Tamandua tetradactyla: one gene and its partners. The protein of the gene in region 3 interacts with the protein of the main gene of each other region in a pairwise test. Links are inferred from orthologs where the notes say so. Each region holds a gene or a part of one and is shown on either strand. Other genes may lie near its edges.

What was found.
Region 1: the proteins of BNIPL (region 3) and MIF interact in a two-hybrid assay, tested with the Homo sapiens proteins (2 studies listed by BioGRID and IntAct). The link is inferred for Tamandua tetradactyla from reciprocal best matches to the Homo sapiens genes BNIPL and MIF.
Region 2: the proteins of BNIPL (region 3) and GFER interact in a two-hybrid assay, tested with the Homo sapiens proteins (2 studies listed by BioGRID and IntAct). The link is inferred for Tamandua tetradactyla from reciprocal best matches to the Homo sapiens genes BNIPL and GFER.

Annotation. Positions count from the first base shown.
Region 1 is NC_135331.1:25,740,860-25,750,426, forward strand, and holds MIF (macrophage migration inhibitory factor), read right to left. Parts: upstream 5,732-9,567; 5' UTR 5,595-5,731; coding exon 5,487-5,594; intron 5,322-5,486; coding exon 5,149-5,321; intron 5,012-5,148; coding exon 4,945-5,011; 3' UTR 4,866-4,944; downstream 1-4,865.
Region 2 is NC_135349.1:55,539,529-55,550,278, forward strand, and holds GFER (FAD-linked sulfhydryl oxidase ALR), read right to left. Parts: upstream 6,255-10,750; 5' UTR 6,179-6,254; coding exon 5,918-6,178; intron 5,503-5,917; coding exon 5,303-5,502; intron 4,398-5,302; coding exon 4,235-4,397; 3' UTR 4,181-4,234; downstream 1-4,180. Other genes in the region: SYNGR3 (synaptogyrin-3), read right to left, coding at 1,256-1,354.
Region 3 is NC_135330.1:4,497,443-4,508,192, forward strand, and holds the start of BNIPL (bcl-2/adenovirus E1B 19 kDa-interacting protein 2-like protein), read right to left. Parts: upstream 5,689-10,750; 5' UTR 5,163-5,688; coding exon 5,119-5,162; intron 4,324-5,118; coding exon 4,228-4,323; intron 4,026-4,227; coding exon 3,961-4,025; intron 3,748-3,960; coding exon 3,523-3,747; intron 1,433-3,522; coding exon 1,250-1,432; intron 1,067-1,249; coding exon 964-1,066; intron 801-963; coding exon 669-800; intron 1-668. Other genes in the region: exopolyphosphatase PRUNE1, read right to left, coding at 7,338-7,766, 9,756-9,914. UniProt on the Homo sapiens protein: May be a bridge molecule between BCL2 and ARHGAP1/CDC42 in promoting cell death.

The DNA of each region.
Region 1 (9,567 bases), on a different chromosome or scaffold from region 3:
CTCAGCAGTCCCTGCAGGCCGCCTATTCCCCCACAATTAGCAAAGCCCCTGGAGGGGCAAACAAGATCCCAATGTTGGGCATTTAGGCGGTGGGGGAAATTGAGGGCAGCAAGGAGTAGCTGGGTGGGGAGAGTCTGGGGTGGGATCAGGAGAAGGCCAAGAGGCAGGGACCTCAAAGAAGAGGGTGCAGGAAGCAAGGTGCCGGGGCAGACCCTGTGACAAATGAGACCCAGGTGGTCAGAAGGAGACCCAAGTACAAAAGGGATACATTTGGGATAAAATGGGATATAATTTGGGATAAAAGTGGCAGTTCATCAGTGGGGTATAAGATGAACGATTTACCGATGGTGAGAGAATGAATGGGTAGCATCTAAAATAAAAAGGGGGACCCACCTGATACCTAATACCGTCTGGGTAAATTCCAGACAGAGCAAAAATATACACGCAAAAACAAAATCATATTAGGTCCTGGAAGAAACCATGAGTAGCAGTTCAATAATCACTGAATGGGCAAAGCCTAAGAAAAGCATGAATCCTGAAGAGCAATTTGTGATAAGTGTCTCAATGGCACACCCACAAAGTCAGAAGCCAAATGACAGACTGGGGAAAACACAACTCAGGGCAAAGGGCTATTTTCTCTCACATGGAAAAAGCTCTTAAAAAACAACAAAACACTCCACTGGAAAAGTAGGCTTGAGGATTTTATTACAAAAGGAAAATGAAATGGCCATGCCCCAGACAAAAAGAAGCTCCCCCTCAAATTAAACCCTTCTGGCTTGATAGATATTTTTATCCAACCAGACAGGCGAAAGTCAAACTTGGGCTGGGGCAGCCTCTGAGCCCTGCTGAGACCATGCAAAGTGGCATCACTTTTGACCAAGCAATACCACTCCTGGGAGCTCACCCTACAGATTCATTTACACACATGAGAAACTCAATATAACAGAGCGAAGAGCTGAAGGCTGGAAACAACCTAAATGTACATAGATTGGGGGCGGGGGGGGGGAGGGGGCTGGTTAAAGAGATCCTGGCCTGTCTGAAGGCTCTTTAGATAGAGATTTTTAAGTAAAGAAAAACCGAGGTGCAGAATTCTAATGGAAGAAGCTACCGGTCATGAAAAAAAAAAAAAAAAAAAAAGCAGGGGGACAGGGAATACACATAATTGCTAAGGATTCAAAGACAAATTTGGGGTTTGCTTTTTGGAAGGGTGGTGTGAGGGACACTTCTTGGGACACCTTTGAAATTGGAGTCTTGTAAATATAGGACCTATTCAAAATGGATAAGCCCATCAAATTTTTTTCCAAGAGAAATGGATAATATTAGGTATGTAGAAAACCAGGTCACTGGGGGGCCGGGGGAAGGAGACTCCTCATTTGCAGCTTTTGGGTTTGGATCCCTGTCACGGGGCAGGGGGGTCCTCTCTCTTAGGGGGGCTAGACATGAGTGTCTCCAGTTGGGGCTGAGACTTCCAGGAGTGGGAGGGACAGCCAATGTCCAAAAGCTGGCAATCTTTGTTCGTTTTTGACGTGGGCTTCAAACTCGGAAGCGAGGTGTGTTCTGTCTGCCCTGAACACCTGAAAGCCACTGCTTTGGGGGTGCCGGAGCTCAACTTTCTGGGGAGTTTGCATGTGGCCCCATCTTGCACCTGGGCCACTGCTTTCCTGGCCTGGATCCCCACTTAGGGTTTGGGGGGCTGCCACCTGGGGGGGGGCACTGCTCAGCCGGAAGTGGGGACAAGACGGGTGAGGTCTGCTGATGGGGAGAAGCATGGTTTTATGGGATCAACTCTTAGCTCCCCTTTAGGGTACAGAGTCCAGGAAGACACAGGCAGCTGCCCAAAAGCCCTGGGGACTAGCTAAGCTCCCGGGCTCAGCTGACAGCTCCCAGATTGACTTTGATATTCTACTCCAGAGCCAGGCAGTAGTGGGGGGTCCCCCTGCAGACCCCACGGTCCGCTCCCCTCAAGGGCCCCTTCCTACCACCCCCTGTGGGCCATGCAACCTGAGCGGTCCCAGAGCCAAACCCTAGCCAAACCACCAAGGTTGGCCCAAGCCAGGGGAACCAGAGCCCTGCCAAAGACTTCCTCCCCATTATGGAGATGGGGAAAGGGGACACGGGAACACCCGCCCTCTCTGTCCCCTCCTTCGGGTGTCACCCGAGGATGTGAGATGCCTTGGTTCTGGACTCAATGTATTGGAGTAGGAAGGACGTCTGGTGAATCCCTTCATTTCACAGATGGGGGATACTGAGGCCCACAGAGGGAACATGGCAGGGACTTGCTCTGAGCACCTGAGAAAAGCTGGCTGGGTTCCGGGTCTCAGAGGGAACGGGGGCGGCCACTGTGGGAAGTCGGAGAAGCAGGGGTCCTGGGGGAGGCTGGGGGTGGGTGCCTTGGGGTGGGTGAGGCAATGGGTGCCAGGGAGGCCAGCTTGCCAGTCAACTCCTGAGCCCCCAGCCCACGTCCACAGGCCGCTGGGGAGACCCAGGGAGAGAAACGCCAGCTCAGAGCATGGGCCGACAGGGCAGGGACCTGTGGGTGTGTCACCCCACAAAGAGTGGCTTCGGGGTGGTTTTCCAGGAAGACGGGCGTGGGCCTGGGCTTGGATCACTGCCTGGGGGCCCCAGCTTGGCCAGGTGGGTGACAAGGGTCCCATGCACAAGAGCTGCCCCCTGTTCTGCTGGGGGGCGGGCCCCAGGAGACACGCTGTTACTTGGGGAACAGGGAGAGGCACGTGGCTTGCATGGGGTGGGGGTGGGGTCATTCAGAGATGGGTTTGGAAGGCTGACCTCCACCCTGCCAGCCAGGGGGCAGGGGTGGGGAGGCCAGCAGTCGATGTGGGGTGGGAGGGGGGAGGTTGGAACCCAGGCTCTGTCTGGAGGAAGCAGAGTGGGGCTGGCAGGGGGTGACCAGGGTTGCTTGGTGGCCCTTGGGGACTTGGGAGGAAGCCACTGCCTTGGGGACACCCAGCAGCTGCAGATCCCCGCCCCCGCCCCATATGTATTGCACCCTGACTTAAAAGCAGAGTAGCCCTGACTGGGGCCGCTGGGGTTGGGGGGGTGGGACAGCACAGCAGGGAACCTGGGCATCAGTTTTTTCATCTGTGAAATGAGGGAGTTGGACTTGAGGCCCCTGCTCTTTTGTCACATAGAAGAGGGCATGGGGCCCAGAGGGAAAAGAGATTGTGTTGGGACTGGGGGAGGGGCCATCTCAGCACGGGAGGCTCCCCCCAGGAGCAGAGGGGACAACCGTGTGGCCGAGCCAGGGTCCCTCTCCCCAAAGCCCCTGAAAACCGCGTGGGCCCTGGGAACACGTTGCAGCGGGGACATTTGCAGGGCAGGGTAGTCACTTCTTCCCGCTGTCCACTGCTTTCCTAGAAGGGAATTGTGGCTGCCCAAGGTGAATGGGTGTGGCTGGGCAAGTGGGCGGCCGGAGGGGGGTAGCCCCTAAGGACGGGGGTAGCCCCTAAGGACGGGGCTCCCTGTGAACCTGGGGGGGGGGGGGGAGACGGATTCGCAAGCTGGCCAGGGCGGGCAGCCCCCCACGGGACCACTCGAGTGGCCAAGCGGCTGAGGTGAGCACAGCAGGCCCCCCTCAGCTGCCACGGAAGAGAGAGGCAAGGTTTGGGTCCAGGGAAGCCAACATGTCCTTGGCTTGACAACTAACTTGTGCAGGGGCCGTCCCCAGGTCCCTGCCCAATGGAGCCCGGAAGCAAGGATGATGGGGGGCTATGCTGGAGGGAAGGCACAAGTGCCCACCCCAGGCTCTCCTCACCTCCACTCTTAACAGAAATAACAGGCTCTAGACTAAGGATCTGCCCGGCCACCATGCTTTCCCCAGGGCCTGTTTCCAAAAGTAGATTCATGTAAATGCCCATGGAAGTTTTCAAATTTGCCTTCCATCTAGGATGTGCTCACTTGGACAGGGACTGGACAAAAGCTAGGGGTCTCAACGGACTATGCATAGCTGGGGTGGGGGGTTGTCCAGAGACCAGGCTGCACACCACCCCAGTTCAAGCTGCCTTAAAAGACTTTTCCCAGCTGGCTCGGTGGTGCAGGAAGTGTGTGTGGGGGTTAACACATCACTTTAGTGGCCCCAGGGCTGGCCAATTTCTTGTGGTGCTGGGAGAGGGGAGCAACATGGCCTGCTGTAGAGGTACCCCGCCCCCATCGCTTGTCCAGGTGGTGGTGTTTGTTCAAAGTATCCCCTTCCCCTCCCCAACCCCTGCATCTGATCTGGCTTGAGGAACCAGGAACTTCCTTGCCCTGGGTAAGTGGGGAGAGGGCCTTGCCACATGAGGTGGTGGGGGCCTGGGGGACCGGCAGGGGTGGGCGACTGGGCATAACCAAGGAACTCTGCATCCTGCACATTTCCACCCACCAACACACCTGGGGACCGCCCCCAACCTCCCGGCAGGAACAAAGGGACATTCCCCATCAAGAATCCGAGATGCCAGGCCAACCAATGAGTGTGACCAAGGGGGCTTTCCCTCCCCAGCCGGAAGACGGGGGTGGGGTGGGATGGGGGAGTGTAGCCCACCCCCAGATCCTCACCTCCAGGCTAATCAGATTGGCACTTCCCCCTTCCCCCACTCCCAGGCCGGCCCCGCCCCACCCACGGCACCCTACGTGGTGACCCTGGCGGTTCCCGCCCTCAGTCCCAAGGCTGTGACCCAGGGCCGGACGCCAAGGAGGTAACGGCCTCCGGGGACGCAGAGGGCTCGGGCTGGCCGGCCCAGGCTCCGACCCGGCCCCGCGGCCTCCTGGGGGGAACTCCATCCCGCCCCGGCCTCGGCGCCACATTCCGCGTCCCAAGGGGGTCCCCCCGCGGCGATCCCTCCCCAAGCCAAGGACGCCCGAGGCCGCCGTGGTCTCTGAACCGTTTATTTCTCCCCACCGGGGGTAGGGGTGGGGGGCTGGGGGCCACGGTGGGAGGCGGCCCGGCGCTCAGGCGAAGGTGGAGCCGTTCCAGCCCACGTTGGCCGCGCTCATGTCGTAGTAGTTGATGTAGATCCTGCAGGAAGAACGCGGGCGCGGGGCGGGGCAGGCTCAGCCGGGGGACCCCGGCGGGACCCAACCACCCAGGCGTCGCGGGCCGCGCTCCCCCCACCCCCTCACCTCCCCAGCCCCCCAGCCCCGGGCGCTCCGCACCTGCCGGGGCTGAGGTGCAGGCGCTCGGCCAGGAGTCTGCAGAGCAGCTTGCTGTAGGCGCGGTTCTGCTCGCCGCCGATCTTGCCGATGCTGTGCAAGCTGCAAAGCGCACACGGCTCGCTGGACCCGCCGAAGGCCATGAGCTGGTCCGGTACCACGTGCACAGCGATGTACTGCGGGGCGGGGAGGGGCGTCAGCCCTCGCGCGAGGACACCCCCGCCCCCGTCGCCGGCCCGGAGTGCACCGCTCCCCCCTCGCCGCCCAGAGCGCACCGCAACCCCCCAGCCCCCGAGCCTCACGCCCCGCCCCGCACCCCACCGCACCCCATCCCCGCCGACCTGGGCCGGCTTGCCCGTGGCCTGCGCCAACTGCTGGGTGAGCTCGGAGAGGAGCCCATCCGGGACGGAGCCGCGGGGCACGTTGGTGTTCACGACGAACATGGGCATGATGGCGAGCGGGTAGGCGGGCGGACGGACGAACTGACAGACTCACTGAGGCCACACGCGCTGCGGCTGCTGCCCGGGAACCTGAACTACGTGACCACCGTCCTGCGCCGCCTCCGGATAGGCTCCGCCCCGTGACGTCACGGCCGAGGGCGGTCCCGCGTCCTGCGAGGCCCAATGGCTGACCCGCTCGCTCAGCGAGGCCGCGGCAACGCACCGCCCCGTGACGTCACCGCCAGCGGGTGTCCAGCCCACCGCGAAGCCCAGCTGCGATTCCGCCCCTCACCCCGTGACGGCCCCGTCTGTCGCGAGGCCCACGGAGGCCGAAGCTCCGCCCCGTGACGTCACACCGCCCCCCCCCGTGCCGTAGGGCGCGTGTCCTGGAGACTGGTGGTGGCCCCCTGCCCTTCCGGTGCGCACGGCCGCAGGGTCGAGGCCCGCGCTCAGCCCGCTACGCGCGCCGGGCTCCGCGTCCCGATCCCAGGTGCTCCGGTCGTGCGAGCGTGAGGTGGGGAGTGGCCCTCTAGGGCCGCAGCCCTGACCTTCCCGGTGGTGTGAGGGTACCGGGATGTCCTCGGGGGGGGGGCAGGAAGCGCTGGGGACGGCCCAGCGCCCGGATCGCGTGGGCTCCCCCGCGGCTCTTCCCCCGCCCCCAGCCCCGGTCCCTGAGTCATCACTGAAAAGTCTTCAGTTGGGAAGCCTTGTCTCCCCACCCAGCAGTGCCCGGCCTGGAAGTGAGGCAGAGAATGAATGAAGGAAAGCTAGCTATGACACAGCAGGAGGGCGAGGCAGCACCCAGGGCGGCGCCTGCACACTCAGGGAAGGCCCCCGAGTGGACACTGCCCTGGGTGGGACTGGCCTCTCTCTCAAGTCTTGGAGGGGCACGTTGCGTATGACCCGGCCTTCTGAGAGCTCCAGGAAGAATGGTCCTTGGGCTCTGGCAGGTGCCTTCCGGTTACGATGGCAGGCGCAGATGGGCGTGTCGCAGCACCAGCCCAGCCTCCAGGTGGGAGGTCCCAGGTCCAATCTGACCCAGATCATTTTTATGCATGTGGCCTGAATTGGAGCTGTTGGGTCCCTCTAGGCTGAGCCCTCAGCCAGGTCTCTTTGCTCTCCCAGTCGTGCAGTCTTAGCTGTGCCCCCAGCCCGTTTCCCCGGAGGCACCCATGGCCCTCTCGGTTTTGTCTCCAGACCAGGGCAGTCCACCAGGCTCAGCAGCCAGCTCCATGTGTCCCAGCCCTAATGCACGACGACTTTCCCTCCTAAACCTGATCGTCTGCCAGTGAAATGTCCCTGTCCTCTTAACCAACCATCAGTTCTTCCCACTCCCGCACCTCTGCCACCTGCTAGCTAGTGGAAGTTTCTAGACCGAGTAGCTGCTTTGCCAAAGTGGGTGGCAAGTTGGAGTCTGCAGGCTGCGATGCCCACACAGGCAAGCCCCCAGGGTTTTCAGGTTGCTTTTGTAGCATAGGGGAGTCTTGTTATGTACCCTCCTTCGACCTGTATCCACAGGTCAGTCAGCACCGTCTTTCTAGAAGGGCATCTCAGCAGCTGCTACGATTCCCAGGCCCAGCTCTTACAAGCTCAGACATTTGACTAACCTCTCTGAGCCTTGGTTTCCCTATCTGTAATTAAGGGGTGACAGTTGTGTCCACCTTGCAAAAAACAGGGGTGTTGTGAGGTGTGAACGGCCAGGCAGTGGTAGCACTGTTGCCATACCCTGCTTCCCTGCCAGCCTCCTCCCGCCCCCCAGGCCTGAGCCTCCCTTCCCTGCTCTCTGAATCTGGGCACACCCCCCTTCAGTGACCTACTCCTGGCTTCTGGCTCGAGCTGATGATCGATCACCCTGGATGATCTTTGCCACATTTTTCCTCTTCTGACTGGCTAGTCCTCCAGACCTCAATGTAGCTGCCACTTCCCTAGGGAAGCACCCAGAGCCCCTGGCTCAGTCACGTCCTTCAGGGCCTTTCCCACAGCATCATTGATGATATTTCTGTTTGTGGTTAATGGTTCAGGTCTAGGCAGAAGGCTCCAGGGTGGCTGGGGTACCACGACTGTATGCTAGCCTCCTGGCCTGTGACCTCAGGGGTACACAGAATGACCCCTAAAGGAGTCTAGACACTGGTCCCCAAAACCTGTGCACATGTTACAAGGCAAAAGGGACTTTGCAGATGTGATTAAGGTGATGGACCTTGAAACAACGAGATTAATCCTGGAATATCTGGAGGGACCCCAATCTAAAATCCCACACGTCTTTAAAAGCAGAGACTTTTCCCCATCCAGAGACAGAGAGACTCAAAGCCATAGAAGAACTTGCTGTATACAGCCACTGGCTTTGAAGATGGGGGGGTGGGGTGGCCGGGGAACTCAGTCTTGCAATTGCAAGGAACTGAATTCTGCCAAGAGCCTGAAGAAAACTGGGGAGCAGATTCCTTCCTTCCCCGGGACGCTCTGCACCTACCTGGCCCATCTGAGACCTGAAACTTCTGACCTCCGCAAACGGAGATGATAAATGTGTGTTGTTTTAAGTTGCTAAATTTGTGGTCACTTGTTATGGGGGCAAGAGAAAAGACAGACAGACAGACACCCGGCATCCATAGGGGGGCTCATAATGAACTGTTAGGTGGTAAGTGACAGGACAGATACACCACCAGAGTCCCTGGCTAGCAGTTGTAGCCATGGGACAGGCTGTGGCCACTGACATAAATGGAGGGTTCATGGGGCAGCATCTGCTTTGCTGATGGAGGCGCCACCCTGCCCCTTCCCTGGAGATGTAGTGGCCCCGGGGCACCTGTGAGCTGGACAGGATGGGGTTGGGGACCTCGAAGGGGCCAGGTGTGTCCGGATGCCACTATAGCTGGGCCGGCTGTGCTGGCTTCTGGTTAGATGAGAAGAGCAAGCCCTTCTCTGCTCAACCCCCTCTCTGCTCAACCCCCTGTGTGTTTGGGTTTCTGTCATTTTGCAGCCCCGGTGTTCCTCCTGGATGGTCCAGAGGACTTACTTCCTGGGTGCTGCCCGTGGGTGAAGGCTGCTGGGTGGGGGGGCAGGGAGAGACCTTCCCATGGTGTCCGGAGACGCTGGCTGGGTGCAGAACACCCAGCGGCAGGCCCTCAGGCAGGCTTTGCATCACTGGCTGCCTATTCCCTGCTGGGGACAAGAACAGTCACCTCCAGAAGCACGGAAGGAGGCAAGGACTGTCTTTTGGGGCACAAGGGCAGCCGCTTCTAGGGGCTCAGGGACTCTGGTCACCACATCGGAAGAGTGGTGAAGAGGGTCTGGCATGCCACTCTCACAGAATAAAAATCCCAACTCGCCTTCCAGAAACAGGCTCCCCAGCCACCTGCACTCAGGCACCCACCCCATTGTCCACAAAGCCTTCCCAAACCCAGGGCTGGGCGGGCAAAAAGCCGGCCCGGGCCCTGGGCTGGTGCCTGGGTACCCCTCGAGATCCTGCTACCCTCAGAGTGGAGCCAGGGCTGGGGGTGGGCCATGAGCCTCCCCAATCCTCCTCCACCTCCTCCAGCTGCTGCAGCCTTGGAGAGTGCTGGGTCAGCCCAGCTCCCCCACGTGGGGGCCTCCGGGGCAGTCGCAAGGACCAGGTGGCACTGAATGTGAACAAATAAGAGAGACTCAGTGACAGCCCTCTGGGAGCTGGGCAACCCCTAGACACAGGTAAGGGCCAGGTAGGAAGGGCGGCATCAGGGCCCACCCAGGAGAGAAAGGGTGCCTCCTGGCCACCTGCCCATCTACCTTCAGGAGGTCTTGTATTGGTTTGCTAAAGCTGCCAGAATGGCTTTTTAAATGGGAATTTGTTTTAGTTATAAGATTACAGTATGTCTAAGGCCATAAAAATGTCCTAACTAAGGCATCCAGAAAAAGATAACCTTGACTCAAGGAAGGGTGATCTGGGAAGGCATGTGGCCAGCATTTGCTGGTCCTTGTTCCTAGTTCCATTGCTTCCAGCTTCTGGTGCCAG
Region 2 (10,750 bases), on a different chromosome or scaffold from region 3:
GCAGGCACCTCGTCCGGAGCCGCGGGGCGGGACCCGCGGGAGGTCACAGCGTTGGCAGGTTAAGGAGGGTCAGCTGCCCAGAGCTGCGTCCAGCCCCTGCGCGGAGCGGCCCTCGGCACTGAGGAGGTGCGTGGCCCGTTTGTAGCGAGCCAAACGGGAGGAAGAGGCACACAGCTCAAGGAGTGTGAGCACAGAGACTTAATGTCCCCCTGGGGTCCCGCCCCGGAGGGGCGCGGGAGGGGTGCCATGACTGCGGTTACTGTTGAGATCACCGTAATAACATGTGACCTCGGGTTCAGTCAGCCCTCAGCATCCTGCGCCCACGGCGATAGGCAGGCAGGCTGGCAGCCCAGGTCACTGTAAAGCAGACCTTCTCGTTTAGCTCTGGGTAGCCCCGTGTTTCCAAGAAAAGAGCTCTAGTTCCAACTTCACCTCGCCTTGTTCCTGCTCCACCTCGGAGAGACCAAGCTCTCCGTTTAGTCCAGGGGGAAACTGAGGTGCAGGGCGTGGCCACGTCCCCACAGAGTGGTCCAGCAGCGCTTCGGCTTCTCAGTATGGTCAGAGTCACTCAGGGGTGACCTGCGGCCTCCTGCCCCCTAGGGACCGCCCTGCTTGACCACAGGGCTTGAGGTGGAATGGCACCCGCCTCACATCTTCCCTGCCTGTAAGGGTAAGAAGGGGCGAGCCACCTGGCTAGGGATGCCCAGTGAGCTAGACTGCCTACAAACGTGCCCTTCCCACGCCGCCTCCAGGAAGTCCTCCCAGTGCAGAGCCCCTGCTGGCTGCCCCACCCAGAAGAAGCCCCAGAGCCCCACCCCAACTCACAGCTGCACCTGGGGGCCCTGAGAGGGGCCAGCTCCCTCCGCAGGAACCTGGAAGGTGTAGGGGGTAGGTATGGGGCTCTGTCTGAAACCTCTCGGTTCCCGTAGACCCCCCACCCCGTGCTGGGGCTGAACCCCCAAGTCCCTTGGCGAGTCCCACCCCCATCCCGGCGCCGGCTTCCAGGTCGTGAGAACCCGCAAACGGAGCGAGGGCTGAGGAAGCTGGGGAAGGTCGACCTAAGGGAGCGTCGCGGGGAGGGGGCGGCCGGCGGTGACCTCTCAAGGACCCGGGCAGAGGCCGCCCGCCCCTCCCCCGCCCGCAGGTGGGCGCGCCCAGCCCGGTGACGTCACCCCAACCTGCGGCCGTGCCGGGGAGGGACCGGGGGAGGAGGAGGGTCGGGGCGGGGGTCGGGGGCGCGGCGGGGGCCACTCACCCAGGACACGACCCGCAGCAGGGTCTGGGGCCGCCGCGCGAAGCTCACGGGGTCCAAGGCGACCCCCGCGCGGCCCGCGCCGAACGACGCCCCCTCCATGGCCCGCGGGGCCGGGCCGCGCGCCCCTGCCGCCCTCTGTCCTCTCGTCCGTCCGGCCGGCCGGCCGGGTCCGAGACCGCCCGCGGCTGCCCGCGATGCTGCTACAGCTGCGGCCGCCGCCGCCTCCCGAGAGCGCGCGCTGTCCGCGGCGGGGGCGCGCGGGGCGGGGCCGAGCCTGCGCCTCCCCCCACCTAATCCACGCGCGGGGCCAGAGTCCTCCTCCCCTCTCCGCCCCGCCCTCAGGCCCCCCATCACCTGCTTGACCATGGCCTGCCCATCCTCGGGGCACCCCCGCACCCACTGCCTCTTGGAGGGGGCGTCCCGGGCCCCAGCGGGGCAGGGCAGGGGCTGAACCCCCCAGCAGATGGCCCTGACCCCGCTGATAGGGAAGCTGGGAGGGGAGCATGGCAGAGCCCACATCTGGGGGGAGGGCATTGGGGCACCCCTGATCCTTTCAGGTCTCCCTGACCCCTCCCCATTTGTGGGTCCCGCTGATTTCGCGGAGGTTTGGGGAGAAGCATCAAAGGTGGGGAGCTCAGTCGAGTAGGTGCCTCGTTGTCCCCTGTCCCTGCCGAATCCCTTCCACACTGCCCCGCGCGCCACAGGTGAGGGGTCCCTTCCAGCACACCTGTCAGGGTCCCGAGCCACTAGTGGGTTTCTGTCTTAGGTCATGAGAAGTGACTTCACCCACTCAACATTTCCAGGACCAAGCCTGTGATTCCTGGTGGAGGCCAGGCCTCTTACCCCTTTCCCATCCGTGTGAGCACACAGCACCCCCAGGCCGGGATTGGAACCCAGGGCCTCTGACAGCAGGGCCTGTCCTGTGCAGAAGGGAGCCGGCAAAAGGGGCTGGCTTTGGGTGTGAGGAGGCTGTAGAGCTGCAGTTGGGGTGGGGAGGAGAGTGGGGGGCCGAGGCCCAGGGAGGAGCCCATGGTGGGGGGAAGGGGAAACCAAAGATGCAGGGTGGGTGGGGGTGGAAGTGGGAAGGTCTGGCTCGGGAGTGGGGTGGCTTCAGCACTTGAGTGCACAGCGCCCTCCCCCTTTGGGACCTGAGGGGGGCTGTAGCTTGTAGGAGCGGGGTGTGTATGTGTGTGCAAGAGGCCTCTGGGAAGGACAGCACCCCACCCCCGGGGACCCACAGGCTCTGCTTGCTCACCTCCGCAGGGGCCTAGCTGGGTGTCATGAGGCCAGGGGTGCTGCCCAGCACATCCACCAATCTTCTAGGTTGTTACACTGACCAAATCCCATCTTTCCCATTCGCCATCTTTTACTTGATCATTTTGGCATCGGCACCCAAATAAGGTATACCTGCTTCTATCTTGAAAAATAAACCCTCTCCCCAGCTGTCCCATCACAGTTCCCTTTGAGCTGTGGGTCCTCGGCCTCTGAGACCCCTCCTCCTGTTCCCCCTGCTTGGGCTCTCCAATATCAGATCTATCCAGAACCCTAAGCCTGTCTCAGCCTGGAAGCCTTGGAAATAGAACCTGATGCAAAGTTTGTGTGCTTTTATTGGGGGGTAAAACCTTGGGGAAGTTGAAGTTAGGGGGAAAGGAAGTGAGGCAGGCTGGGAGGGAAAGCAATTACAAGCAGTGGGTTGGAGCTGTCTACAGCTCTGGAAGCCAACGGGAAGTCTCGTGTCCCCTCTGCTTGGGGCCACGGGGCGCTCTGATCTGTCAGTCAGGTGGAGGCCTGCAGCTCCCAGGCCAGGTGAGGTCACACCAAAGGTTGGCATCTCTACCAGAGACACACTGGGGAGGAGGTGGAGCTCTTAAGAACACAGGGGCAGGGAATGCAGTCATTGGCCTTTCTGGCTGGGAGTCAAGAGGGCTGAGCAGATCCAGGTGGCTGGGGGTTGCACCTCTGGGCCCCGTTCACCCCCAAACCTCCTTACAGAGACTTTATGGGCTCCTTTTTCAGGCCCCAAATTCTCATGACTCTGAAAATCTCAAATATATTTATCATCCAACCTTTGCTTGCCCCCAGAGGGAGCCTCCCTCTCTGCTGAAAGGTGGCTGTAGCTTCCTCACTGACCTTGGCCCAGCGCAGTGGCCACAGGGGACTTTCAAAGGTCAGATCCTGCCATTCCTTCACCCCAAGCCCACAGGGGCTGCGCCTCACACTGGGAATCAAAGCCATATCCTCCGCCATAGGCCTCCCCTCCCCTCTGACCTTACCACAGGCTGCTCCAGCCACTCGGGCCTCCTTGCTGTCCCCAGCCGAAAAGCAGTCAGGCCCCCCCAACTCCTCGCAAGTCCAGCAGAGAACACACAATTCAGGTTCACAGGCACCTCTCCAGCATTTTATTTTGGTTTCAAACTGAGGACGTGAGCCCCTGCTGGCAGTCCCAGTACTGCTCGGGGGACCTGTGTGATGGACAGGTGCCACCTGCGCTGTGAGGACACCAGATCCTCAGACAACCCCACCCCCATAGGGCTGAGCAGAGCAGGAGACTCAAGCCCAGGTCTCATTCCTGAGGTGCAAGCACAGTTGCTGTGGCCATAGGCGCTGCAGCTCTCACAGCTTCACAGTAACTGAGGTCTTGGGGAAGGGCCATCATCCGGCTACAGCCCCTTCCTTTCCTGTGGGGAGCTGGGTGCCGGGGGTGGAGGTGGCAGAAGGCCATGTCCTCAATGGCGAGTGGTGGCCTTGGCCCTTCCCGTCCCATTCACCTGCAGTGTAGCCCCAGAGGGCTGTGAGGCAACATGGCCTTGGCTGAGGAGGCCATTGGGGTGTCTGCTGTGGGCATCTCTACTTCTACTCCACACCTGAGGGGGGAAAGGCCCACGGGCAGCATCCTGGGGACGACCTGATTCACACAGGACATACTCAGGCTCCGACGCACTTTAATGAGCGCCCATCCCCATGCCCACCGGCTGCCCTCTAGTCGCAGGAGCCATCCTTCCAGCCATCACGCCAGCGCTCATCCACCTGCGAGCAGTCGAAGTCAGGCTTGCCCAGCTTGCGGTTCACCTCGTTGTGCAGGCGGCACAGCCACTGCGTGAAGCACGCCCGCGTGCTTGTGTCCGGCTGGTTCCTGTATATCCTGCGGGGGAGAGGGGCAAAGCACATGGAGCATGGTATGGGGAGGCCGGTGGCCCCACTGTCTCTGCCCCTAGCCAGCCCCCTTGACAGCTCCTAAGACAGGGGAGCTGCTGAGAACTACACCTGGAATGTCCTCTAAGGGACGGGGTAATCCCAGAACAGGGTTGACCCTGCAGTGTCCTGGTCCTTCAGGGACTCCCAAGGCTGGCCAAAAAACCACCCAGGGAGCAGGCAAACATTGTCAAGGAGCCCGGGCAAATATTAAAGAGTTGCAGGCACTCCCAGCAACTTTACAACCTTTAACAGGAAATCTCTGGCCCCAGGCAGTGTGGAAGAGGTGGGACCAGCATGCTGGCATAACTGCAAACCAGACTGGTTTCTTGGCACCCGAGGCCCTAGAGCCTCAGCGCAGGGAGAGCCTTGTTCTCCTGCCCAGACTTCCAACAGTAAGGGCTGCCCTGCCCCATATGTCGGCCCTGGGAAGGGCAGAAACACCTGTGTCCACCTGATAATGGCTCTTGGTTTCCTCAACGAGGAAAAGATGCGTCTTGGGAGCAAAAACAGTGGGTCTCTAAAGTCTTGAAAGCAGCCATCCTGCTCCAGATGTTGAGGCAAGTGGACCCCTCCTTACTCTGACCAGTCTCCTTCAGTGCTAAGCAGGGCCAGCCCTTGGGAAGGCTCTGTAGCCACAGCAAGCAGGGCCCAGCCACAGACCCAGGCAGCTTGGTCTTTGAGGGGGGCCCAGATGACCCATTCCCTGCTCTGCTCATGGTCCCAGCTCAGTGGCACCTTTGTCACTCTCCAGACATTTCTAGGCACCTCTTCTGTGACATCAGCTAGGGGCCTCAGACCCAAGCTCCCCCTTACAATACTGTGTCACCCACACGTAGTGCGGCCATAACTCACCTCTTCCTTATGTCTTCAGCACACTCATCACATGGATAAAACTTGGTAAATAAATGTATGAACTGGGCCATGTCTTGCTGCTGTTCTGGGGTGGGAAGGTCCGGGTAGTAGGCAGCCAGGGTGTGGAGGACAGCCCAGCTGTGGCGGCCCAGTTCCTCGCGGTCCTGGGGACAATCCTCTCTAAACTTGGTCCCCCGCTGCTGAAGGAAGCCAACCAAGGGTCAGTTCAATCTCCCCCCAACCAGAACCCCACATAGCTACCCCTTTTCCGGCCCCAGCTGGAGGCCCCATTCTCAGGGTAGGAGCCCTGCAGCCCATCTGGCCCACGTACAGCTGAAAGAGGCAGGGCCTATGTTGGGTGGCAAGGCTTAGGAGTAGCCAACTCTAGGCGACAGAAGACTGTCAAGCAAGAGACTTGTGGGGCCGCTCATCCTGGGCCTTTGGGAAGCCTGCCCCGGGCACCTGAGAAGGTGCGCGGGGCTGAGGAGGGCGGCTGGGGCCTGAAGCAGGCGAGCCCGGAGCAGAGGCCGAGGAGAGCGTGCGGGCGGCGGGGATGGGAGGTTGCGCAGGCCTCGCGGTCCTCGCAAGGCAAGTGGCGTCCCGGGGCATCTGCACCTTCTGCTGTGTCCGCATCCACGTCTTGAAGTCCACGCAGGCCCGGCAGGCCCGCCTCCGGGCGAGGTCCTCAGCGACCTGAGACTCGGAGGCTGGCGCCGCAACTGGCGGTGGGGCCGAGGAGGCGCCCTCTCTCCGTCCCGCACCCCGGCCTCGCGCATCGGTCGCTAGATCGTCCAGCACCTCAGAGCGAGCACCGCCGGGTAAGAAAGAAAATAGGCTTCCGCGGCCGAAGCGCCCGCGCTCGTCGGGCGCCGCCATCTTGCCCGCGCAGTGGTTGCCGGGCCAGGTCGGCCTCCAAATAGGCCTCCACTTCGGTCTCCAGGCAAGCGCGCGCGCCGCCGCCAGGGCGCGGCCACAGGAGCCGGGAGCGCGCGGCGCGGGCGCGGGCGCGGGCGGGGACGCGGGCGGGGTCGCGGGCGCAGCCGGGGGCTGGGGTGCAGGCGGGGGCGGGGGCGCAGGCGCAGGCGCGGAGGCTGGGTCCTCGTTGGGGGCGGGGTCGGGGGCGGGGTCCTGAGTGGAGGCGGAGCTGCGCCCCGGGTTGGAGGCGGAGCTGCGCCCTGGGGTGGAGGCGGAGCTGGGGCCCGGGGTGGAGGCGGAGCTAGGAGCCGGGGCCGGTCTCGGAGGCGGGGCGGTGGGACGGGCCCTCGCGCTGGCGGAGGCGGAGGCTGCGGCGACCGCCCGAGCTGCGGTGGTGCCGGCGGTTCGGCCCCTGCTCGCGCCCCGGGGCTTCGATTTCCGGGCCGAGCCCGCCTTGCGTCGCCCATGGCGCGGCTCCCGCTTTCTCCAGTAGAAGAGCAGCGTGTTGTGGAAGCCGCGGCGCTGCCGCGTCGTAGACTCTGGCTGAGGCCCAGAAGAAGTCCGCGTGGCGGCCCGCGACGCCCCCATCGCTCCGCTCCTACTGTCCGGTGTGCCCGCAGCCAGGTTCTGCGCTCTCACCCGGCGGGCGCGCCCTGTGGCCGGCAGCCCGGCGCCATGGCAACGGACGCCTGGCAGCGCAGGGCGGTGCCGTGACCGCACAACCGGAGGTGCGCTCGCAGAGCCCCTGGGTCCGCGGCTCCGCCTAGAGACCAGCGCCATGGCAACGGGCGCCTGGCAACGCGGGGCGGCGCCCGCGCGAGAGGCGCGGCGTGTGTTGGGTGGGATCCTGCGGCCCCGAGAAGGGTTAAAGGCCTCCAGGAGCCCTCGGAGGTACCTCAGCTGCCACCCGCTCCTCCACTCAGTCCACAACTATCTGTGTAGGCTCGGGGCTCAGCGGGAACAAGGCCCCGTCTCTGACTTCTCCTCCTAGTCCAGAGAACAAGACAGAAAATACACGAGGGGTCACAAATGTGTTCATTTACAGACAGCGGTGAGGGCCATGAGGGGGCTGGGGTAAATCCGGGAGGCCTCCCTATGGGAGGTGACCCTTAGGTAGAGGCGCAGAGTCACACAGGGCCGAAAGGGGAGGGTGAAGGGAGGGGAGGTCCAGGACCCGGCAGGGTCGACCACGTGGGAGCAAGGTGGCCACGTGGAACTGGGCATGGATCCTGAGGGCATTCGGAAAGTACCGGACGGATTTGAGCAGATCCACCCTGACAGGATCTGATTTTTGTTTTCGGAGGCCAAATGAAAAACTGTATGGGGCAAGGTTGGCAGTGAGATACTCGGGAGTAGAGGCTGTTGCTGTGCGGGAGGAAATAAAGTGGACAGGGTACATGGCTGCTGGGGTGTGGGGCAGGGGGCTGTACTTGGGGTGGGGCAGGCCTCAGCATCCCTCTAGGTGACCAGCTCCCCACCCCCTGGCTTCTCTCCTCTCTCTTCCGGGGGAGCTGGGGGCGGAGTGGATCTATCCTGGGCCTCATCATGGCCTTCCCAATGACAGTTGGACTGAGGGTTGACTGCAGGTCAGGCCTGTTTGCCACCTGGACCAAGACAGGGCAGGTGTGAGGGCTTCAGAGAGCTGCTGCTCCGAGAGACACACAAAGGCCCTTTGAGGAGGCCAGGGCAGTTCTGGAAGTAGGCCCCAGAGGCTGGCCCCTCCCAGAAGTGCCTGGGGTGGGGGAGTCCCGACACCCAGCACCAGGAAGAACCACCAAGTTCCAGAAATTTTCCCTGTAAGGAAAGGGCCCCTGAGAGCTGGGGCACGCAGACGGGCCTCAGCCAAGAGATTCCATGGCCTCCCCCCATGGTGGCAGCTGGTAGGGAATGGATCCCTCCTGCCCCCTGAGGCCTGCAGTAAATTGTGGTACATCACAAATGCAGGGGCAGCGTCCACAGCAGCCCAGGCTGGCACCACCCTCATCCCCCAAGTGTCAGTGATGGCAGAGATGTGCTCTCTTCCTTCTGCCACAAGTCTCAGCTCAAGGGAACTTCTGGGGTGAGCCTGTAGGGTCCACTCCTCCCTCACTTCAGGAGCACAGCAAAAACTTACATTAATAATCCATTTAATACATTCTCGTAGGAGTCAGTGTGAGGATTGAAAGCCCATCAGGCACTTTAGGCCCTAGTGCACCCGCAAGTGAATTCAAGGAGAGCGGAGGGGCCCGGGACTGGAGGCTCCCCAGGGAGTGCAGGGCGGGAGGGGCAGGGCAGAGCTGGCCCTGGCTCTTTGAGGGGCCACCAGCCCTTCTTCTCCCCCTCCAGGGCCTCAGGCCCCGCCCTTCCTGGGGACAGTGTCACACACCTTCAGGGCAGGGCAGCTTCTCCTCTCCCGCCTCCAGCTCTGCTGTGCCCCAGCTCTCGGGGTGGGGTGGGGCAGCAAGAACTGTGCAAAGGACCCAGGGGCTCCTGGCTAGGGAGGGGCCTGCTCGCCAGCTTGGGGATCGGTGGGGAATTCCGGGTCAGTGTTCAGGTGACCCCACTGGTAGGGAGGTGGCAGGACGCTGGCCGCCGAGGAAGCCGCAGCACTGGCCGGCCCTCGCCATCCAGTGTCCGTGTGCGCCGCGGCCCTGGTGCAAACCGGGCGCCTCCAGGTACCCGATGGGGTCCCCACCAGCCCTAACCAGGAGGGCAGACGTCCCCAGCCCAGCCCCGGGAAGCGCCCCAACTTTTCCCTTCGCAGACATTTGCCTTCTCCGTGCGCTGGTCGGATGGCAGCGACAGTTTCGTGCGCAGAAGCCTGGACGAGTTTAGAAGATTCCACGTGAGTGACCTGGGGTGACCCCGACAGGGCGGGCCGGCTGCCCAAGCGGCCTCCCTTTGCGCCCCCGTGGTCTCCCAGACCGAGCCCCCCCACCTCGCTTCTCGACCCTCCAGAAGACCCTTAAGGAGACCTTCCCGGTGGAGGCGGGCCTGCTACGGAGATCTGACCGCGTTCTGCCCAAGCTTCGCGGTCAGGCCGGGTAACTGGAGGGGGCGGGCAGCAGCGGGGGGAGTTGGGGGTGGGGCCCACGGTCTGTCCTGCCGTCCTGCAGATGCGCCACTGGTGGTGCGCGGGGGGCGCACGGGCCGCGGCCTGGAGCGCCTGTGTCTCCTGGAGGCCTATTCCCGGAGCCTGCTGGCCTCGCAGGAGCGTGTGGCCCGGAGCCCGGCGCTCCTTGGCTTCTTCTCGCCGCAACCCCTGGACCTGGAGCCCATGCTGCTCCCGGGCAGGTATATGAGCCGCCCCCACCCCCAGCAGCCTTCGGAGGACCAGTCAGCACCGAGCAAAAATCAGGAGGTGGGGCGGACTTGGGGGGTGCGGGCTGGTCCCCACCGCTCACCCGCGCTGGCTGCCTTCCCAGCCTGGTGATCCTGCCTGCCCCCAAGGAGCCCCCAGCCCGCCCCACGGGCAACCTCGCCATTCGGAGCGTGGAGGCCCAGAGGCTGTGCTGTCTGCAGCCCTTCCACGCCCAGGACACAGGGGGCCGGCCCTTCCACACGCGGGCCCAGGAGGCCGTGGACGTGCTGCTGCGACACCCCTCAGGTGCAGGGCAGGGGTCCAGGGGAGTCGCCTTTTGCCCTCAGGCCCCCAGCGGTCTGGGAATCTGGGCACACCCTGTTCTGCGCACAGGCTGGTGGCTGGTGGAGAACGACGACAAGTAGACGGCCTGGTTTCCAGCTCCCTATCTGGAGGAGGTGCTCCCAGGCCAGGGACAAGAGGCACCCCTGCCCCCGGGAGCCAGTGGTATGAGACCGCCATTCCCCCGTGGGCAGTGTGCAGAAAGGGTGGGCAGGAGGGCACACCAGGAGGGGAGGGGGGAAGAAAATGAGCTGGGTGCATCAGGGCCCTGGAGTGTCCTCTTGGCACCAGTAGTGAGGGAGAACCCCAGGGCTTCAGCGCAGTCCTGGCGCCAGCCCCACGGTGACCCCCAAGGCCCCACCCACAGGGCTGCATTTCTGCGTCTCCCGCGCCTATGAAGGTGGCCGTGTGGACGAGTTGTCAGTGCCCGCCGGGGTGCGCGTGCATGTGCTGGAAACGTCAGACCGTGGCTGGTGGCTGTGCAGGTGTGCAGGGGTGGGGCTTGGGGCTGGGCCACACCGAGCCAGGCACGGGACTGAAATCTGACCAGGCTCCGCCCTTCCCCCCACCCCCCGCAGGTCCAGCGGCCGAGTGGGTCTTCTCCCCGCGGTGCTGCTACGGCCCGATGGCCTGGGTATGCTCGTGGACTGGCCGGGGCTCCACAGCGGGGAGGGCAGGGTGGATGAGGCCCACGGCTCCCCAGAGGTGCCCCTGACCACGAGCCCTCCCCCGGCTGTACCGGCCCGGCCCACACATAGTGCCATCCAGAGCCGCTGCTGCACCATCACGCAGAGGGCGTTGGGGCAGGACCCAGGGCACCAGGGATCCCCCTGAGGGTGGGTGGAGGCCCCCCCAGGCACCTCCTGCTGTAAGGTCTCTAGCTTTGTGGGGCCTAGAAAAAGCTGGAGGAT
Region 3 (10,750 bases):
CGCCTCCTGGTTTTGGCTACCCTACTTCTCTCCTGTGCCCTTACCTCACATAAGTTCTTTGTTCCCTTCCATATTCCTGTACCTTTTTTTACTTTTGTTCCATCCCTCCATGATCAGAACTATTTACAAAACTCCAGGTGGGAAAAGACCAGTAAGGAGGGAAAAAAGGAATGGGGCAGGAAGAAAGAGAAAAGTGAGCAAAGAAAGATGGTAGAAACAATGGAAAAAAAAGGAACATCACGGGTTAAAAGGACACGTGGCTCAGTGATGAAGTAAAAAAAGAAAAGAAGACAATGGAGATGTGGAAATTTAAATAAAGAGCAAAACTAGGAGAAAATGAAGAGCGCCTTCTACATGTCAGGCAAAATACTATATTATTGACTTGATTTTCACACATACCCAGTGGCAAAGCAATTGTATTATCATTTCCATTTTGCAGATAGAGAAACTGAGGCCCAGACAGGTTAAGTGATTTGGCCTAGGTCATAAATGTTAAAGATTTGAAACCAGATTTTTCTTACTCCAAGAGAGGACAGAAGATAGGACAGAGCTAGAAAGGGATGTAGAAGAATACAGAAAGAGTGGAAGGGACTAAATGGCAGAAGTAAGAATGAAAAGATGGAAAAAAGATTAAGAGGGTTGGAGCCCTTTTGTCTTAAGAGTCTCACCGCCGATCCAGGGTATGGTAACACTGGCGCATCCAGCTCAGCGTTGGAACCTGGGCCCTGCTTGTGCCTCCGCTCAAGTGAACAAGCAGATAATTTTCAGCAACTAGTAGCTCCAGAGTTCCCACTATATACCTGTAGGGATGAAATTACCAGGGAAGGTGTGTGTGTCGGGCAATGGGGAATGAGAGGGACATTATTATAGACTCTGTAATCAACTACTGATCTTGGAAGTGGTTCTTTCTTTGCCTTTTCTTCCTGAACAACCTCTCTGCCTGTCTTTGGGCTCCCACCTCACCTAAACAAGTGTTCCATGACGTAGGTGTAGTTGGGGATGCTGCTTCTGGGTAGATAACAGGAAGCAAAGAGGATGACAGCATTGAGGCCATCACCATGGTAACCTGAGGTGCATACAGGGAAAATTCATTATCAACAAAGAGCCAAGTGCATTTATACAGGTTGAGGGAGTCTTGAGGTCTCTGGAAATTATAGGAAGGATTTTGAACCCAATAACTGAGTTCTCAGTTTTGCATTTTTTTCCAAGAATCCACAGTTCTTACCCCTCTACTTATGCCAGCCAATACCTCCATGAGATAGGACTTTCTTATAGGGTTCAATGACAGTCATGTCCACTCGCTGCTCCTGCTGTCCTGTTCGGAATACCCTCCAACGGCGACCATCTTCTCCAGCCACATCCCACATACATCCCCGGCCCAGGCTTTCAGCTGCCTCACTGGCCCCCATGCTCTCTGTTCGGGGCAGCTCATCTAAAAGAGAAGGATGGGGAAAGATCAACAAGGCAGAATTCCTACCTTACATATTTTTAATATTTCCCAGATTCTTAGAGTTTACTACTCCAACCTTTTATTCTTCAACTTTTTCCTTGACTCTTCATGCCTAATTTGTCCAATCAACTCAATCCCTTCCTGGTTCCTCCCCACTGTATCTCATTCATTACCCCTGCCTTCTCATTAAATTATGGCTCTGGGATGATCTTGCACTATGGCAGGTCTATGGCCATTGCTAGTACAGTTTCTTCTAGACTCTCTTTCTTTACATGCTTTTCCCTAGATGAGCTAATCCATTCCCATGTCTTTAATTACCACTAGTAAGGTAAAGATTCCAAAATCTGCCCTCTAACCCAGACTTCTTTCCTAACTCCAGACCCATATCCCTAAATGCCTAGAGTGGACATTGTCACTGTCATCTCCAATTCACCAGGCCCAAAGTGGAATTCAGACACATTCTCTTCTCCCCCTCCCCCATGGTTCCTGTCTACATGAATTATCCCATCATTCATCTAGCTACCTGAAAGAGAAAATTGTGTGTCATCTGAGACTCTTCTCTGTCAGCCCTAAAACTAACTGGACCCTACATCCTTTTCCACCTGCCTCCATACTTTTCTTTCATCATCTTCTCCACTACTATGGTCCTGGTTCATGTTATTAGTGTTCTCACCAAGACTTCATACTAGCTTCCTAACTGGTGTCCATGCTTCCAGTCTTGAGCTCCTTCACTCCACTCCCTACACCACTGCCAGAGCAGGCTGTCTTTTCTCCCCTACTATATATCCACCATTCTGCCCAATCTTTCAATAGCAATTGAAAGAGCTTCCTCATTAAAAAAAATAGTTGCATAGTAGTAAATTGTATAGGTGTACAATTACAGAGTTAATACTGTACTGATGGAACTTCAGGTTGTTTCCAATTTTTTCAGAGCCATCAAATTTGATCATGTTACTCCCTTTACGATTCCCCATTGCTTCTAGGCAAAATCTTGGCATGACAGTAAGGGCCTCCGTGAATTGACCCTTACCTACTATTCCCAGCATTTTCTTTTGTCATTGTTTCTTCATCTCCACAGCTGAATAGCCATGCTATACTCAAGTTGCTTCTTCTACCTAGAATGCACTCTCTCCAACTACCTAATGGACATCAACTTTAGCTTTCAAAAATTCATCTCAATAATGAAAACCTTGTGTCTGATGCTCCTTTTATCTACCTTATCAACAGACGAGAAAAACATATGGAATAAAAATAAATAATAGGGGGAACAAATGTTAAAATAAATTGAGTGTGAAATGCTAGTGATCAATGAAAGGGAGGGGTAAGGGGTATGGTATGTATAAATTTTTTTTCTGTTTTCATTTTATTTCTTTTTCTGAATAGATGTAAATGTTCCAAGAAATGATCATGATGATGAATATGCAACTATGTGATGATATTGTGAATTACTGATTATATATGTAGAACGGAATAATCATATGTTAGAAATGTTTGTGTTTCTTTCTTGTCATATTTTTAAAAAATTTTTAAAATTAATTTAAAAATCAAAAAAAATTCATCTAAAGCAGGAGTGGGCCACAGTGGCTCAGTATCAGAGTTCTTGCTTGCCATGCTGGAGACCCGGGTTCAATTCCCGGTGCCTGCCATGCAAAAAAAAATCATCTCAGAATCACCTCTCCGCAGACCCGACCTTTTCCTTCTCTATGCCTGCGATGTAACTTATATACATGTACATCATAACCCTTAATTGCACCCATTTCCTGAGGGTAGGGACTATCTTATTCATCTTATAACCCCAGTCCTAGCTCAGTGATAGCATGAAACATCGTTCAATAAAGCTTTCCTCCAAAAATAGAGGATTCCATCTTCTACTAACTATTCTTACATTCAATCTGTAAGCTCTACCTTTCCATTCTGAGGAAATTGATTTTGTGGCCTTACCTCATGGTCCTCACCTTGCTAGTTCTATTTTCAGTCCCATTAAATCCATCCTGGGCTTCTTTAACACTGGATTCTACTACTACTACTACTGGCTTCTACTATTACTAACAAACCCCAAGTTTGTTTCCCACCTTCCCATTCAAATTCATGTCCACTGTCCAACTGCTCCGAGTCTGAAGGCGTCTCCAATTCATCTATCTCCAGGTCAGAACTGCCATCAGGAGAGGAAGGTGCAGAGTGAATGGGAGAAGTTTCATTATCTCCTGTCCCCTCAGTCAGATTCAGCTGCAACTCTGGGGCAGAAAGACGCTTACGCATGGGGCGATGGCCACACAAGGCTAAAGTGCTGGGAGTACCTGGGGTTAAAGGAGGGGAGAAAAAAATAGAAAGATGCATGTGTGTTGCGGGGAGGAGACCTGATTATAATTCCTATATATGAAATAATATGGGGTCAACTCTGGAGAAGGATGGACGCAGGACACTCGGGAAAGCAGAAGTAGAATTGACAAGGGACAGCCCTTTGCTAGACTAGAATTGGGAATTTGAGGCCTACTCTCTACTTCACCTACCTGCCTGTGAGCCTCCTTTGGAGTCTTCAGGATCTTCAGAAGGGCCAGCCTCCTCCGGAAGCAATCTAGAGAGGAAGTGATTAAAAGGGGCAGTGATGTGGGTTGAAGGCATCCAACCAGGTGTCAATTTATCAATTCTCTCTACCTGCTATGATTTTATTGCCTCTTTCTTTTTTCCCTTTCTTTTCTTCAAGTCCTAATTCACCATCCCTGCCCTCCATTTGTGACCAATCCCCCCTTCTCCCAACCTCCTTCGCACTTTCTCACCGGGGGAATTCTTCATCCTGCCATTCTTCCTTCAACTCCAGCTCCCCAAGTCTCAAGGCTGCTCCTAGTTCTGCTGCTTCTGTGTTCTCCCTGGCCCTAAGATAGTCCCCCAAGAGAGGATTTTCATGAGACGATAATCTAGGCAGTGTCTTAAGGAACTGGTAGAAAAGACTGTATTGAAGAATTAAGGAACAGAGCAGAGGAAAGGCCTTAAAAAGAACTCAGATCTCTTATCTCCTAGACAAATGTTTCTCCCAACTTCACCATTTGCTGGAAGATTACTTGTACTGTTGGGTTTAGGAACGGTGGAAGAATGCACTACGAAGCTAATCATTTTTATTTCTAAGGCAATTGCTCTACCTGCCAAGTAGAGGGCAGAGGTGTTCCGCATTATAAAGGGTTGGAACCTAGAGAGATCCGCCCAGTGGTCAAGGGACAAAGTTGCACCTAGTCAGGCCTGCCTTCCCTCCACCATGCTGGGGAGTGGCTAGAGAAACCATGGCCTAGGTGGAAGGGTGGGGGGAGGTAGGGGGAAGAGAGATGAGCTGGGATGGGGAACCTGGACCTCATCTCATTTCTGGGTTAGCTTTCCTGATGGTCATTCTGGAGGGAGGGGGATGGAAAACAAAGATCACGGGTAGATTCATCAGATAAAATATTGAAACTTCCTTTCTTTTTTTGGCCAGGGAATTATTCTGGAATTCCATTTCTCATTTCCCATACCACACGAATACTTCCTACTTAAAGCCACTCTAAGCTGTTCTCTGCAAATTAATTGTTACAGTTTCATCTACTCCAGGAACCCTGAGATCTGACCTATAAGAGTGGGACAGTGGGAAAGTCCCTCAGACTATTCACTCCCCATTTCCAAAAAAGTAAGCCAATACTCACCCAAAATCTAGTGCGTTTTCCTCTGCTTCTTGTATAGTTCCCATCTTCTAAGTCTTCCTGCCTCCTTCTGTTAAACACTTGGAATTGTTGGGGAGCTGGAGTGGCCAGCTCCCCAACACTTCTTTACCCTTTTTCTGTCTCAGCTGCTGTTGCTATTGCCTCCAAGGAGGAGGGAGGTGTGAAAGGGAAGTAAACTCATCTTCAAACAGGTTTTGCTACCTCTTCTCCCAAGGAGCAGGTTTGTCCAAAAGAAAAACCCTGCCTCCCGTGTGGGGGCGGGTTTTGGGGAGAAGAGTGCATTTCCTAGGGTGACTAGTCTTGGGTGAGTCCAGGAAGCTAATTTGTTCTTCTTTCCAGACCCCTTATAACCTTCTGGAAGCAACTTTGTTTAAAAAGGAACTGTAGTAGCCATTTAGGTTATAAGACTATGTTGGGCCTACTTTTTGAGCATAAACAGAATTGGGAAGAGAGAAGTTTGTTATAAGGAGAGTTCTGGTAGAAAAACAAGCTAAAGGAAAGGCTGAGAATGAGGGAAGTTGGAAGCCTGTGCTGCTCCTTATTCCCAAAAAAGTGTCATCAGAAAGAAGACAGTAAGTATAACAGGAAGAAGGGACATGAATCTTTAGGAGGCTAAAACAATTATCATAGGGAAAGACCCAGTTATAATTATAAAAAGAGACAGTAAGACTCCAAACAGGAAAAGAATATTTAATACTTTAACAAAATGTAAAATTAAGTACCCAAGTTACAAAACATAAATTCCTTTGGTTCAGCGATCACACTACTATTTTTACCTTCCAAATAGCTACAGACATTGTCCCCTCTAAGTGGCAGACTGCCTCCCTCGTACTGGAAGACGTCATATCAAAACCATCACATATCTCACTGTTCAGTGAAGTTGTTGGCAGCCTACATGGAACAGAGCAGTGGGTTGGGGGTGGGGGTCGGTCCCAAGAAAAAAGGGAGACTCTCCACATGCAGAACCAAGAGTCAGCGGGAGGGAGCTCTTTGCTGGACAACTATGGTATGAATCATCCCCTTGTACATGCTACACTAGATTGAGTCCTTCGGTACGATCCCACATAAACAGACAATCGAGTGACCCTGAGCATTCCCAGGGAAAAGAGAACAAAAATTCAGAGAAGCAGAGGAGACAAAGGATGGCAGGTAAGAGGCAGATCACAGAATATCAGAGAACATCTAATTCAAACCATTAGTTTTACAGACAGGGTAACTGAGACCCAGAGAAGTGAAGTGTCTTACCAAACTACACACAGTTCGTGGCAGTCAGTATTAGAATCCAGTTAGTTAGTTCATGCTTCCTTTTAATATGAGCAGGAAGAGGAAGAGATGGATAAGAAAGTGATAATTCTGCCAAGGCAGGGGATGGAACCAGGGCTCTCACTCTGGTTCTGCTGTCTTTTGGAGGAGTGCCTTTGAGGCCCAAAGGCCTTCCTGGGTGCCTCCTGAACTCTCAAGAACAGGGAGTCTTCAAGGTCTCTTCAGGGCCTCTGTGGCTCTGGGACAGAGGGTGTCAAAGAACCTCACAGTCAGGCCACCCGATCAGGACAGAAGAAAGCCTCCAATCTGCTCCCAAACAAGACCTGCAATAGTCACAATAAACTCAGAATGGAAAGTCAGCCATCTCTGAATCAAGCTGTATTACCAACAGAGGGTAGAAAGAAGAGTCACGGAAATGGAAATCTGCTAAAGGCTGAACTGTGGAGCAAGTTTCCAAAGCACACTCTACAATGCATCTAATTTTAAGTAGATATTCAATAAATACTTGAATAAAGTGAATAAAGAATACATGGAGACAATCAAAGAATCCATGGTTCTATGACAGATATTAGCTCTGTTCAAGATCCTTGCCAAGGGCACTTTTGGAGTACATATTCTTTTTGTCCTACTTTCTTGGGACTGAAGATGTATTGCATTGCACCCTGGCAAATTAAATAGAGGAAAGTCAGTGTAGATCTAAAGAATAAAATTAAATAATAGCATTTTTATGATTGGTCAATTGGGGAGAAAAGCTAGAAAACCATTCTTCACTGAAAGCAACTGCTTTCCTTCACTTCTTTCTACTTCCAGGTTTATGAGAACAATACACCAGATCCTGGAGCAATGAGGACAGAACTGCTGAAATTTCCAAACATCTCAAAACATGCATTTGGGATTGGTCAAGCAGCCTCTCCCACTATCCCTTCCCCTCCCAAGAGTCACTTCTTTGACAGGGAGGCAGTGGTAGACTGTGACAGTGAGATCTGGCTGCACTTCTCAAAGATGGCCTCAGCTAAGAGCTTAGGCAGTCCCTGATCCAGAGGGCACTCGTCCACCAAACTGTTCATGGGTGTGGGGGGCAGCAGAGGGTCCTCCTCATCTTGACTTATTCCAGGGATCAGGGAGTTACTTGCCCTGTCCATTTCCTTGTCCAGCTGCTCCCTAGACACACCCACTGTCTCAGGCTGTCCTGAAGGGATCTTCATGGAGTCAAAATATGCTGATAGGGCTTCCTGGAGCAGAGGTAGAAGTTTCTTCCGAGAGACCTGGGTGTTGCCTTGATGATAGGCTTGGAGGTTAGGGTGGGTGCTTGGGGCTGGGGTCAGGTTTAGGGAGGGAGAGTAGGAGTGTTCCAGGACTCGGCATATCTGAGGAGGAGACAAGAATGGAGGTATGATGTATCAGTTGGAGTAGCAAAGAACTGAGGCTTCTAAATTAGAGGTTTCTCCTTATAGAGGAGAAAAGACTTTTTAAATTAAGTCATCCAAAGTTTACTTTTATTGCTTGCAACACAAGGAAGTTCAGCTAACATCCATTGTGTTTTACAAATATTTGCAATCATATATTTCATTTTATTGATGAGTAAACCAAAGCTCAGAGAGACCAAGTACCTTAAGCAAATCACGTAGGTAACAGCAGAATCTGAACCAGAACTCAGGTCCCCCAGCAGCTAATCTAGTGTTGCGTCCAAGTATATTCCTTACTTAAAAACTTGAGCCCTATGCTTAACTGGGAAGAGATTATCTCTCTCCTGAGGTCAGGGGAAGAACTAAGGCAGAAAGAAGGAATGAATAAACAAAAGTCAGGGTGGGAGATATAAAATATTGAGACTTTACCTGGCACAGTGCCATGTCTGGCCATTTACAGATATTATCTCATTTATTCCTCACAAAAAGTTTATAATATTGGCATTTCTATTACCCTCATTTATAGGTGGGGAAATTGAAAACTGAGGCTTAAGGAGGTTAGGTACCTTGCCTAATATCATGGGAATATGAAGCAAAGCTGAAAGTCGAAACTAGGTTTGCACTAAAGCCTGAATTCTACATCACTATATAATACTACCCCTAACACAGGATGAAGAGAGGGAATGGAAGAGCAGCCCATGAAAAGGGGACTCCTATTTCCAAAGACAGAAACAGCCTGGGCAATGGTGGAGTCATCTGATATTCTACCTAGCTTCCAAACAGCAACACAGAAGGCCCTAGATTCAGGAAGGTAGGAAGAGGTACTTCTTGTAGCCAAAGCTCCCTTTCTTTTATGATTAGGAATAGCCACCATTTACTGGGTGCTTACTGTGTGTCCAGCAATGTACTTTACATATATTATGTTTAATTACAGTATTAGACCATTGAAGTAGGTGCCATGATGCCATTTACATATGAGGAAATAGACTTAGAGAGGTTAACTGATTTGCCTTGGTCCAAAGAGCCAGTAAGTAGCAAAACCTAGGACAGAAAATCAAGTCCACCTGCATTTTAAAAATAATACTTCTTTCCATGGTGTTAAACTACCTTCCACTGAATGTATTATATTTGCTTCCTGGGGGGGGAAGACAAAGGAAAAGAGCAGTGGAAAAGGAAAAGGACAGACATACATTTTTTTTTTTTCTTTTTTTGACATGGGCAGGCTCCGGGAACTGAACCCGGGTCTCTGGTATGGCTGGTGAGAACTCTACCTGCTGAGCCACCGTGGCCTGCAGACATACAGTTTAAGAGTAAAAAGGATTATCCAGTTGCCTTCACCAAGATTCACCAATCTCATATAACCCAAGCAAACCAAAGAGTTTCCTAGACTGCCTTAAGTCCACTTTTAAATTCTTCTGGGTTTTTCAGTAGTTAAAAGAAGGGGGAGGAAGTGGGGAAAGGTGGCCAAACTGAAGATCAGGAAAGAAATCAAACCTGCTCCCAGATCACAAAGTTCTCACTATATAGAGTAATTAATCCCTGCATAGTAAGGAACAGAAAAGGTTTCCCGTGTGTTTCCAATTTTTAAGGCAATAGGATAAAAAGAAAGGAATTAATTGATTTATGATTAAACCAAGAATTGAATTTCAACCCCAGATTTATAACATTTGCATCTAACTAGATTTCAAGTTCCTTCTAAGTAAGCATCCTTCTAAAACACATTTAGTCTAAATGTGTCTCTAATTCTCTTTGACTCTCCCTTTCTCAGTAACAGTCTGAGTAAGCCTATTCACATATACAGAAGATGGAAAAAAGGGGAGGGGACCTTCGCAAAATAGGACAAGGGACCTCTGTGTAAATACAACAACTAAGAAGAAGAACTTAGAGCACAGAGCAACCCTTACAGGCAGAGCTCTGCAGGACCCTCAACTGGAGAAGAGACAGACTCACCACCATTCGGAGCTCCACATGGGGACAGAAAATAGCCAACTGCCGCACCGGCTCATCGTGCATGTTGAAAAAGATAGTCATGGCAATCAGGACATCATAGCTGTGTGCCTGGCAGAAAGCATGGAGATCAGCAATGAGGCCAGCCCTCTGCAGAAAGGTCTGAAAGAGAAGAAATGGAAAAGAGGGATAAAGACTACAGCTGGATCATCCTTGTTATCATCAACAAAAAGTTCTTATGGTTTCTTTGCATGTTAACCCGGGACTTGTGCTCCATAAAAGAGGGACATATGGGCTAGGAGACTATGTGGTAGAATGAGGAAAGGCTTTGGATTCAGACAGAATTGGTGTGAAGATCAGTTCTTTGACTACCTGGCTATATGATCAAGGAGTCATGTTATCCCCTAAACTGCAGTTTCTTCATCTATAAACTAAGGATAAAATACTTATAAAATATGATTGCTTTAAGAATTAAAAAATGGTAATGTATGTAAAGTACAAGACTTTACTGCTTTTGCAATCAAACAGCAAATCTTTGCCTTGTAGGTATTTATTCTAAAACAGAACAATGGTACATACAAATAAGAACAGACATATGACAACTGTATTTTTGACTCTTCCTTTTTTGCCAATTTATATGCTTTACTCTTCTCCAAAATCTAGTACAGTATTTATTTCCTCCAATGAACTAGGAAACTCATCTCTGGTTCGCACTCTCAAAACCTATCCTGCAGGTAGAAGCAGCTTGCTGACAGCTAAAGTAGTGTAAGAAACATCAAGTTGAAGTGGCCTTAAAAGATTACCTGCTTTTGGGGTTAAAGTAATTCAGAACACAGGGGTAAGGAAGACATTGTTTATATTTTAGAATCACACATACTCTTTGAGACCAAAGGAAGAAAGGTTTATTTGGTCTGGAACCAAAATTATCTATAGTGCATAATCTAACCTATGTGTATAGCTCATTTGAACAACTGAAACACAGGGAGCCCAAAATAAGA